3 linked regions of the Mus musculus genome follow. The protein of the gene in region 2 interacts with the protein of the main gene of each other region in a pairwise test. Links are inferred from orthologs where the notes say so. Each region holds a gene or a part of one and is shown on either strand. Other genes may lie near its edges.

Region 1 (3,749 bases), on a different chromosome or scaffold from region 2:
GGCAAGATGAAGGCTGCTTGCTCTGCACTTGCCTGCTGTTTGTGCACAGAAGTGGTCACTCGGGTGATCCTGCCCGAGCTAGGAAAACAGGTGACTCTGGGCTGTTGCTTCTTACACTAGAGCACACCTCCCTCCCTCCCTTCCTCCCTCCCTCCCTCCCTCCTTCCCCCATCTCTCCTCATCCCTGCCGTGTGTGTGTGTGTGTGTGTGTGTGTGTGTGTGTGTGTGTGAGAGAGAGAGAGAGAGAGAGAGAGAGAGAGAGAGAGAGAGCTCTCAAATTTGCCTCCCAAAGGCAAGCGCACCCGCCCAAGCGCCACTCACCTTCCCGCTCAATCTCAAACGCACTGGTGGCATCCTCAGGTGTGAGGCAGCGGAACTCACTGGCAGGGAGTGTGTGGCGCCGCTGGCAGCCTAGGAACTCTGAGGTCCCAAGTGGCAGGTGCAGGGCCTCAGGTTTCAGGGAGTTGATGTTCAACATGGGCGTCTGGCCACTGAACCCTCCCAGGGGTTCCCCAGCTTCAGAAGTGCTCCCTGAGCAACTGTCAGAGGAGAGAGAGAGAGAGAGACAGAGAAAGACAGACAGACAGAGAGAGACAGAGACAGAGAGAGACAGAGAGAGAGAAAGAGAAAGAGACAAAGAGACAGAGAGAAAGACAGAGAGAGAGAAAGAGAGAGACAGAGAGAGACAGAGACAGAGAGAAAGAGAGACAGACAGGGAGAGAGAGAGAAAGAGAGAGAGAGGGAGAGTCTGGCGTTCATCACAGAGAGTGCCAGTCTCTTGGGGTAGAACCAGTCCCCAGGTACCTGAACCTCAAGGCAAACTGCAGGAACTGACAATGTTAGCGTGATTTTCTCTCTTTCACTCATGAGCTAGAGGTCCCTTTGAGCAATTGTTCAAAGCTCAAGACTCTACAGGCCCTCCAGCCTTGGGAGACTGTGGGCACCATAACTGTGTATCGGTATCATACCCCAAGAGGGCAGTAGAGCAAGGCCATGAACCTTCAACCTCTTCTTGTGAATCTGCGGGGTGGGCAGGCTCCCAGGCCCCTCATACCTGGGGCCTCATAGTCATGTGGCTACTGCCAGTCATGTGACTGTCTCACCCAGAAGACTTCTTGTTTTTTGTTTTTTGTTTTTTTTTTTCAGTTTTTGTTCTTTGAAGGAAGTGTATATGTCTGTGTATCTGTGTGTGGCTCCGTGCACAAGCCCCCAGCGCCCAGAGGTGAAGCATCCCCTGGAGCTAGAGCTACAGGTGGTTGTGAGCTCCCACTGTGGGTGCTGGGAACTGAGCTCAGGTCTGAAGCAGAACTCATACACGCTGTTAATCTCCGAGCCGTCTATCCTCCCCCGAGCTGAGAGCTTTTTAGGTTGTCTCAGACCTTAGTCCAGGAGAAAAAGCTCTTTAATTAATGTGAGCCTGACATCAGACTGGGTCATGCTGGGGAGATGGGGGATAAGATGGTTAAAGAGCCTAGGACTGGAGAGTCTGAGGTCAGGAGGGTCAGGTATGGAGGACATTCAGGGCGATGTGTCTGTCCTATCAGCTTAGGCACATAGAACATGCCAGTGTGATACCCTCTTTCTCATGACACCCTACAAAGCGGTGGTCCTTAGAGGATGTCTTCCATCCCGCAGCTTTCAAAAAGGGCTGAGGAGCTTAGGTGAAATGGCTCAGCAGGCAAAGGCGCTTGCCACCAAGCCTGAGGACCTGTGTTTGATCCCAGGGATCCACATGCTAGAAGGAGAGAACTGACTCCCACAGTGCTCCTCTGGCTTCCGCATGTGTGCACCGCACGTGCACATCAAACAAGTAACTAGAATGGAATAGAGATGTTCTTTTTAAATGGGTGATGGAGATAGCTCAAGCACGAGGACCTAAGCATAAGTCTCAGACATGGAAAATCTGGTGCAGGGCCCCTCACCCAGCATCTGTATCCTAGGACCAGAGACACGGGGTTGGACAAATCCCTGGGACTCGCTGGCTCCCCTAGCCAACCCAGCCCACTTGGTGAACTTCAGACCAGTGAGAGACCTTGTCCAAAGAGACGAAGTAGACAGTCCCTGCAGTTCTCAGAGAATGACACCCAGAGCTAACCTCTGGCCTCCACTCACACACACACACACACACACACACACACACACAAACACATAATATGCACACACATACATACACATTCACATACATACATACACAAATACATGCACACATACATGCACATACATACACAAGCTCGAATACATGCACACATACATACACATATACATGCACACACATGCATGCACACACACATATATATACATACATATATACATAGAGCCAGGGATGGGGGGCCCACTTACCAGAACTTTAAGAAGGAGTGCAGGTGTTGTCCTGGGGGCTGTCACTGGGTGCTGGGACTAGGAGAAGCTGAGACTCCTGACTGCAAGGAAGCTGTAGCACATATTTCCCCTGGCAGCATGTGATGGCTCAGAGATTCTAATCCCCCTGGCCCTGCCTCCCATGTTACCCCAGGCAGTATGATGCCAGCAGGGCTTGGCAGTCAGGCTCTGGCCCTATCCTGCTGAGGGCAGGCGTCATCAGTGGTACTGGGGACGTAGAAAGAATTACTAGTAGCCGTCTCAAGCTATAGGGAGAGCATGGGCTAAGCCTGGGGGTCTAACTAATCCCTGCTTTGTCCCCAGCTGGCTGGGGACCAGCCACCACCTTCTGTCCCTCAGAGGCCAGTTTGCCCACGCCTCTGAGGGTCCTTCTTGGTCAGGAAGCCTGCTATCCCTTATAGCCACATACCTGGGGAGGCAGCTTCTACAATCCACAGGGTATCCTGCCAGGTGAGTGTAACTATCCATTTTACAGAGGAGGAAACTGAGGCTCTGCCCCATAACTTGAGGGGCCCCAGTCAGGTACCAGGAGAGCAGGAAGGTCCCTAGAAACAGTTCTCCAGAGCAGAAACACCTCAATACCACCAACCAAAGAGAGAACTATGGGTCTATACAAAATGTCACGGGACACACACACACACACACACACACACACACACACACACCATCATGCAGCACCCAGAAGGAGACCAGCACAGTGGTGACAGAAGCCAGAACACAAGAGACACATGGTGGTTTCTAGTTCAACATCTTGTCCAGATGTTAGGACCCGGCTGCTGGATGCCCAGGGAGAAGGCCTTAAGGTCACCAGCAAGGTAACTGTTCAGTTGGACGGTGCTAATTCATGCAGCTACCTCTATGTATGTTATGCTCAACATCTTCTTAAACTCCAAAGATCTCTGACTTCCACACCTGCAATCTCTCTGTCCCTCACACCACTCTTTTGTTCCCTTTCCTTCCCACTCACACCTCACCCTGCCTCTCTTAGCTCTTCTCTGGCCAGCTCCTCTTACCATATGTTCCCCTGTTCCACCAGGGTACTGTAGCTCTTTGTCTGCATCAGCAAGCCTTGCCAGCTCAAGGCACTGAGCCAGGAGGAGCATTCCCCAAAGCCACCAGCAGAGGGCACACCTGCTAGGACCAGTGATCCTCTTAGAGGGATGCAGTTCCAACCTTGACCCTTGGGTGGAGGGAACCAGGGCCAGTACAGGCAACACCACACACACAATCAGCTGTCTGTGGAGACCTCTTCCCCCAGAATCCTTCTCTGCTGTTTGATGCTGCAGGATCTCCTGTTTTTGCCTTAACTGCATGCTCCCTGGACACTTCCATCTTTCCTCTGCTGGAGCCCTCAACAGACTTCTCATGGC
Region 2 (3,749 bases):
AAGATGTGCTCATTATTGTTGCCTAATAATCCAATAACTCTTCTATATGTGCAGCCTTATAGAAGCCTCCTCTGACACTCTATTCCATGAGCTCAGCCTCTGAATTGTCCCATGAAGTTCTGAAGCAGCATGGAATAAGTGGTTGTCTGGAAACCAACACGAGACAAGAAGAGTTCATTAAGATCTATAAAAGACTGAGAACGTGGCTCACTTGGTAAGAGTGCTTGCTTAAGATGCAGCCCTGAGTTCGATCCTCGGCACTGCATAATACCAGGCATGGTGGAGCATGTCTCTACTGATCCAGGAAGCCTAACCGTAATCCCAGCATCTAGAAGGTAGAGACTGGAGAATCCATTCAAGGCCGCCTTGGCTGCACAGCAAATTTAGTGCCAGTGTGGGCTACTACATGTGACCCTGTTTCAAAACAAAACAAAACAAATCCAGCATTTACCTATTATGTGAACTCAATATTGTTTTTAATGCCAGGCACATGACAAGCCAAATGCAATTATGTCAAGATTAACTAGTCACTGTCCTCAGTTGAGAGGACAGAGAAAGTACCGTGACACTAAGTTATTTTTAAAACCAAGGAGACCATTTCTCTTCCACAGGAAAAAAGCTTATTTTATTAAGTATTTTTAAAACAACTGCTTAACATTTACTTAGATAAAAATATTTACAATTTCACACCTTCAGGAAGGTTCCAAAATATAAACACTGTAACCTCGCCTCTCCCTAGAGAAAAAAATTATTCTCTTCAAAAACAGAAATACATTCATTTTTTTCCTCACTGTGTAGATCAAGTAATTATACAAATAGACATCTGAAACATTTTCCTTTGTCATATATTTATATAATATATATTTATAACAGCTTTACAAATAAAGGCAACAACTTTTATGCCCAAATAAAAATGGGAGAATTTCAACACAAGCAGAGTGCATTTGGAAAGCTGGTGCAGGGCTGGTGGAGCAAGTCAAGGAAACAAGGACTCTGGATCAAAAATAAAACGTCCTTAAAGGAGATGGAACCCTTTTTAGCAAGGACGCTCCATCCACTGCTGGGCAAGAGGAAATAGCCTACAGAAAGGATCTTGGGGTGCCAAAGCTCTGCTAGGCCTTTGAGAAGCTAAGCTTGGTTCAAAGCTTTAGGATACACTTGAAATCCGTGTCTAGCTGTGCAATAAGTGTAGCAATTGATTACTTAGCTCTGTGTACTTTGGGACGTTTGGGGGCATCTCCGAGAGCCTCCTTTGGTTCCTTGGACAGCATGCCGTAGAAGTGAGAGCTAGAAACAGGTGCCAGAGGCCTGAGGACGGGTCTAGTTCACCTTGATTCCCTAGCAGCTCAGCTTGGACAAAGGGGACCATTTTCAGTTCCTTAGTAAACTACTCACAAAAGCCTGAGTTAAGGAACTCCACTCATGGTCTTTATTCATCAGAGACGGGGTTGGGGGGAAGGGACCTGCAGAAATTTGCCCAAACCACTACCGAGACATGCCAGTGTTGGCGACCTCACCACCTTAGCAGAAAGCTCAGCCTGACCACTGTCAGTCTGCTGTGAGTCACCTCCACAATAAAGGGAGAAGGGTGGGGTCCTAACAGCTGGCTGTGAGCTGTGCTCTGGAAAGCCCTCTTTTGAAAGTACCTTTTCTCAAAGCCACAGACAGACCCATGTCCCAAACTGGAGAGTGACTCACAGATCAAGCCTTTGAAGCATATGAAAATCCAACCGATTTGTATCAAAGGGGGGGGCTCTTCTCTGGGTAGGGAAACGCCCAGAGATGTGCTACAGTCCTCCAGTCTGTCATCTGATGTCAGGCTATCCTTCTCGTGTCTCCCTTGTGTCAGAAGGAACTTATTGTCCTACATATACAAACATACATACAAGCACGCACGCACGCACACTCACTCACTCTCACACACACTCTGAATCTTCTCTGTGGGTCTGCAGGGTGGGCTGATCTCTCTGCACTCAGGGAAACCTTTGTGGTTTTTGGAATTAGGGAGGAAAGAAAGCAAGGCAGCAGGAGATCCCTCCAGAGTTTAGTCTTTGGTTTCTAAGTTTAAAGGAGGGATCTGCTTCAAAGCCTGGAGCAAGGCCGAAGAGTCGAGGGACGAATGTGCCAAAGGAGAAGGGAGTCTCTGGGGCAGAAGCAAGGGAGTCGGTATCTTGTCTGGGTTCATGAAGCTGGAGAGGGCTGCAGCTGAGGTGTTGAGGCCTGGGTATAACACTGGCACAGAGGTGGGGTACCAGCATTTCTCCAGCATAGGCAGGTAGGCAGTGGCCGATGGTGGGATGAGATAGAAGGGAAGGCAAAAAGGAGGCTGATGTGGGTGTGGCCCAAGAAATGGGGAACCCATCAGATCACTGCCCGCGAAGTGGCCTTCCTCTTCTGAGAGCTGCATTCGGCTCTTTTTGGTGGGGGGCTCTTCGGATTCTTGCTTAATTGTGCTGACACGTTCTCCCACGGCGAACCTGCGTCCATGGTCGCTTTTGAAGTACGGCTGCTCACTGCGCAAGTCCCCCTTCTCCAATTCACCTCCATAGCCACTGTCTGTGTCCGTGTCACTGCCGCTCTGCTCCCCACCCGAGGGAGCAAAAGTCCGCTGGATGACTGGCACACAGTTTTTCCCAGGGCCTTCTGATCCCTTGGCTAGGAAGCTGGGCTTCTCTTTCAAGTCCACGGCTTTGGGAGCCGAGTCCAATGGTTTCCTGGAAGCACCACCCTGCAGCAGCTCCGAGACCACACGATGGAGATGAGTGACGAGCTGGGAAGATTTCAGGTCCCGAGTGTTCTCATGCTTCGCCAGGTACTGAAGTACCTCACGGGCACAAGTCTGGAAACCTGAGCAGAACATTTCTTGCCCTGCCTCGAGATTTCTTCCCGACAAATCACCTGAAGAAAAAGACCCAGAAAGGAGGATTTTAGAAGGTTGGGTGGTAGGTAAGTCTGAGGCTCTCTTCTTGTCTCTTTTGAAATTGTCGGGCAATTTGCATTTCAGACTCCAAAAGTCTATGCCTAGAGAATTATGCTGAGAAGTATAAAGAATAAAATAAACAAATTCCGACCACTTAGTTACAGGGTTTTTTTTTCCTTATTAATACTTGGGTTTTAATACTAATTACAACAGAGTATCGCTAAGGTTACATATACTCCACTTTCCGAACTAGGATTCATAATGTCTGTAGAGTGTCCCAGAGAAATAAACCAACTTACTTCTACTCTTGATAAACTTCATGTAGTAGCTACCGATTTTTCTTGTGTCACAAAAATGAACATGCTACTGTGTTTAAAAGTTCAACAGTCACATCTTTTTTTTTTTTTTTAAATAAAGCAGTCTCATTCTAGTCTAGAGTGACACTGAGTTACTCAGCAACCCAAGCTGGCCTTGAACGCATATGAGCCTATCTTAACTTTCAGACTGCTGGGCCTACAGGTCTGCACTACCACACCCATCCTCAATAAGTTAGTATAGCAACAGTTTCATGGAAGCAGAAGTCCAGAGACTCATAAAAAGAAACTATATAAAACAAATACCGCCTAAACAAAACATTGTCTCCCTTGCCCCCCACCCCTTTTTTTGTACGAGATAGGATCTAGGATCTCCCTATTTAGTCTTAAAAGGCTTGGAATTCCCTATGCAAAACTGGCTGGCTATGAATTTAAGGGGCTCCATCTGCCTCTCAAGGACAGGACTACAGGCATGCACCACCATGCCCAAGAAACTGTTACAGCTCCCACTGTAA
Region 3 (3,749 bases), on a different chromosome or scaffold from region 2:
ATTACAAACCAGTTTTCTTTATTCACAAACCACTGTAAGTGATATAAACACTAATTTCTAAAGACAGATATACACATTTTCTGGGTTTGCAGATTGAGTGATGTGTGTTAAGAAGTCACTATATGCCACATTAATCTTTTTTTCCATAATTCATAATAGCAATAGTTATTTAGATAAATGAAAACATTCCAAATAAATACTGTTGTTTTAAAAAATCCAAAATGTTTGTTTACACCTCTGACATGACAGTTTAAAACGACTTATCGGCAGCTCAGTGGAGTGCCTAGACAAAAGGTTCTGCGACACCGATTGGCACCCACTTGCTCTAAATGATTTTTATTAAAACTACATACGATCGTAGGGGAAAGTACAGTTCATTGATGGAAATCAAAACCGCAAATGAGTTTTACTTTAGCCAGCACAGTAAGAATTCCATGTTTGTGATTTCATACACAATGCAGGTTCTGGGCTTGAAAATCTGGGGCGACTGGGAGGAGTCTGTTGATCTTTTTGCAGCCCCCTTTTCTATTACTATCTTGACCCCATCTGGGGTTGAATGCTACAGCATCATGATAAATTGTTGCCTTGGATAACATCAACCAGGTGCACGCTGTAGCAGGCCAGGGAAGTGGGAACGTGATGTTGTCAAATGGTTCCCTCTGGACCTGTCTCTCCCTACTCAAAGAAAGGGGTCTGGTGAAAGAAGAACAGTTTCTCTTCTCACCAGTTCAGCAGTTTCTCTCCCTTCCCCTCCTCGCCCTTTGCTTTTCTTTCTCTCCCAAACCATGATCACCTGTCTTAGATATCGAAGCTACAAAAACTTTGTTTTCAAATCTCATGAAACTTTATTGATGGTTTAATATCCAACCGATCTTACGGGCATGCACGTAGGATGACGAGGAAAAGCTGGATCACACACACTTTTTTTTTTCTTTTTAAAGTTTCGTTTGGTTTTGATTTTAAAGCAGAGTTGTTACAGCAGGTTGGCAGGTTCACAGCGTGAGTTGATAACTTACTAAAGTGCGTGCCGCGGGGCCGGCACCGCACACACAGGCAGCAACACTACTCAGGGAACAGCTTGCTGATATTTTAGAATTTAAATACAAAACAGGAAGACCCATGACAGATACCCCAACTTAGGTTAACTTGTAAACAGGACAACATGGGGGGGATTCAAACAGAAGAAAATCACAAGTTGCAATTTTTCGGCTGTGTTGCTCTGGCCCTGCTCCGAAAAAGGATGGGGCAGATCTTGTTCTTTGGGGGTGGAGGGGATAGTTCTAGTTCTTGTTTTTTGTCTTGTGTTTGCTTCCTTCTGACAATTGTTGGGCCTTGGTGATAGAAATAAAGATACCAGTTTATGATAACCCTGGGGCACTGGGGAGAGGGAAGGGCGGGCTCTCACAGACTGAAAAATTGCAAGTTGCTCACAGCGCAGTCATGTTTTCAAAAAGTATCAAGCTGATGAAAATACCATGATTATCTCTATTCAATGATTGCGATACTTGTAAAATGCGACTATAAATCCAGATATGATTATCATGTAATTCCATAAAAATTATACGTCTGTCTCTAACAGTTAATCTACTAAGCTAAACTAAAGCCTCAGAGACTGTTCTAGAACATAACTCCACTGCACAGATGTAAATTTTATACATATTTTTAACTGGTACAAAGAATTTAAGTTTTTATTACTTTCTTTTTTGGAAAAAAAGAAAAAAATAGAAACAGTGCTTTTTTTAATCACCTTTTTATTAATGTTAATTTTTCCCTCCCGTAATATAAAAGTCAGCAGTGATATCAATAATTTCTCATACTGGAAGAAATATAAAAAGAATGCTTACTGATGGCCTAACTAGTAGCCTTTGCTTAAATAACTAGTGGGTAGGTAAGAAGCTGAGTACTGCAGGTGGAATGATAAGAGGGTGGACTGGCCGACACAGCTTCCTTCCTTCAACTGCAATCTCCGTGCTATGAGAAGCGGATTCTTAACACAGCCTTTGGCTTGACTTTGCCAGGAGTAACTTAGAACCATAGATTTATGATAGTTGGTGCAGTGGGTCATTTAGATTCATCAGTTACTATATATATGTATATATATATATATATATATATTTTCTTTTTTTCCTTTCAGCCAAACCCCTAAGCCCGCCCCAGCCTCCCCTTTCACAGAATAAAATAATGTGGATGCAGAAAGAATGACTTGCCGTTTCCAGTCTTCCCAAACAGCTTAACCCCAGTAGCTTCATGTTCGGCATATAGAATTCATTTACATAATATAGCACTCTGGATATGGCCCTAAATCAGTTTTTATTCATATCTAGCCTCTCTCTAGATCAACCACAAAAACTCCTACAGCCAACTGAACTACAAAAACCTTCAGAAACCAAAGACCCACAATATTAAAATACACAGAACAAAATATCTGAGGTATAAGATAAAAAATGTAATTTTTCCTCTTTTTTTAATTTTTTTTTCTTTTTAGTTGTTTCTTTGAGTTGCTAACATGATGTCCTACTGCATGTGATGCAACACTCAGGCCTCGGAAAGCTTCCTCTCTCCCCACATTGGAAGGTTGGGTTTTTTTTGTTCGTTTGTTTGTTTATTTGTTTGTTTGTTTAATGGTTTTATCATTTAATATGGAGCAAAACGGTTGTATCCCCCTCGGTATATACTAGCCTGCAATGAAGAAAGAACGAGACCCACATCATCAGCATGGCTCCTAGTCTTGGCATCGGTCAAGGGCGCAAAAGCATTCTGAAACAAAGCAATTTGAGGGGTGTGGTTTTTTACATGTTGCCTTTTGTAACATGTGGATCATCAAAAAGACTAATGTAAAAAAAAATAGACACTCAAAACCAAGCAAATTAGAGGGCACCCCCTTCCCCATCCCAGACCTTGTCAGAAAGTTAATGGTGGTCACTCCTGACCTCCTCCTACAACTCCTTATGAAAAACAAAGACGAAAACCTAATAATCCCAGGAAACTGAATTGGATCAGCTGGTCTTACCTACCAGCTACGAGGCTTCCAGTTTTCAAATGGGAAAGTGGATGGATAGGAACCAGCTCATTTTACTGGTTTGTTTCTTTGATGAGTGGACTAATTGATATGATGTTGCACTGGGAGAAGCTCTGTGTATAGTCAAAGGTGGTTCTAGACAATGTATTGAATAAAGGGATCAGGATTCTTTTCCACCCCTTTCCTCAAGTGGCCTAGATCTTGGAGTAGTCTTGGTTGTTGGATGTCACGGTGAAATAAGAATAAAGGCCTGCTTCTAGCTTTGGCTAGGCAACTGACTGACTCTGATGCTGCAGTGGGGGTGGGGCAGGAGCTCTGCTGGGTGTGATTAAGCTTATGTAGAACAGCAGGCTCTTCTATGCCTGCTTGGGTTTCTATGACCCAGGGTGCAGGGAACTGCCTAGCAGTGGCTTCCTACCACACTTAAGCATTTCTCTTTGCTGCAATTATTGGCCATTCCAATGAATGCCCATGGGACTGAGTTTCAGGGAGAGGGCTAAGATTCTCAACTCAAGCAGAAGACTGCATGCCAAGGCGTTGTATTGATCGCATGTGCTCTCACACAATGGACATGTCTTACTGGACTCAAGAGTGTTAGTGCATAGAAGTTTGAACAAGTATAGGCAAATCCACCCTACCCTTGCCTCCCCCCCACTTTTGCCCTCCCATTTCCCTTCCCTTCCCAAAACAAAAATATGAGACTTCCCACCCTCCAAGAAGAAGAAAAGAA

The links.
Region 1: the proteins of Bhlhe40 (region 2) and Aanat interact in binary tests that used the Homo sapiens proteins (3 or more experiments, as listed by UniProt). The two-hybrid records come from large-scale screens. The link is inferred for Mus musculus from reciprocal best matches to the Homo sapiens genes BHLHE40 and AANAT.
Region 3: the proteins of Bhlhe40 (region 2) and Rbfox1 interact in binary tests that used the Homo sapiens proteins (3 or more experiments, as listed by UniProt). The link is inferred for Mus musculus from reciprocal best matches to the Homo sapiens genes BHLHE40 and RBFOX1.

Annotation. Positions count from the first base shown.
Region 1 is NC_000077.6:116,592,366-116,596,114, reverse strand, and holds the start of Aanat (serotonin N-acetyltransferase), read right to left. Parts: upstream 2,429-3,749; 5' UTR 2,341-2,428; intron 540-2,340; coding exon of another isoform or gene 479-539; coding exon 322-478; intron 1-321. UniProt on the Homo sapiens protein: Controls the night/day rhythm of melatonin production in the pineal gland. Catalyzes the N-acetylation of serotonin into N-acetylserotonin, the penultimate step in the synthesis of melatonin.
Region 2 is NC_000072.6:108,663,628-108,667,376, reverse strand, and holds the end of Bhlhe40 (class E basic helix-loop-helix protein 40), read right to left. Parts: intron 2,899-3,749; coding exon 2,045-2,898; 3' UTR 452-2,044; downstream 1-451. UniProt on the Homo sapiens protein: Transcriptional repressor involved in the regulation of the circadian rhythm by negatively regulating the activity of the clock genes and clock-controlled genes.
Region 3 is NC_000082.6:7,408,699-7,412,447, reverse strand, and holds part of Rbfox1 (RNA binding protein fox-1 homolog 1), read right to left. Parts: exon of another isoform or gene 2,758-3,749; coding exon 2,635-2,757; 3' UTR 1-2,634. UniProt on the Homo sapiens protein: RNA-binding protein that regulates alternative splicing events by binding to 5'-UGCAUGU-3' elements. Regulates alternative splicing of tissue-specific exons and of differentially spliced exons during erythropoiesis.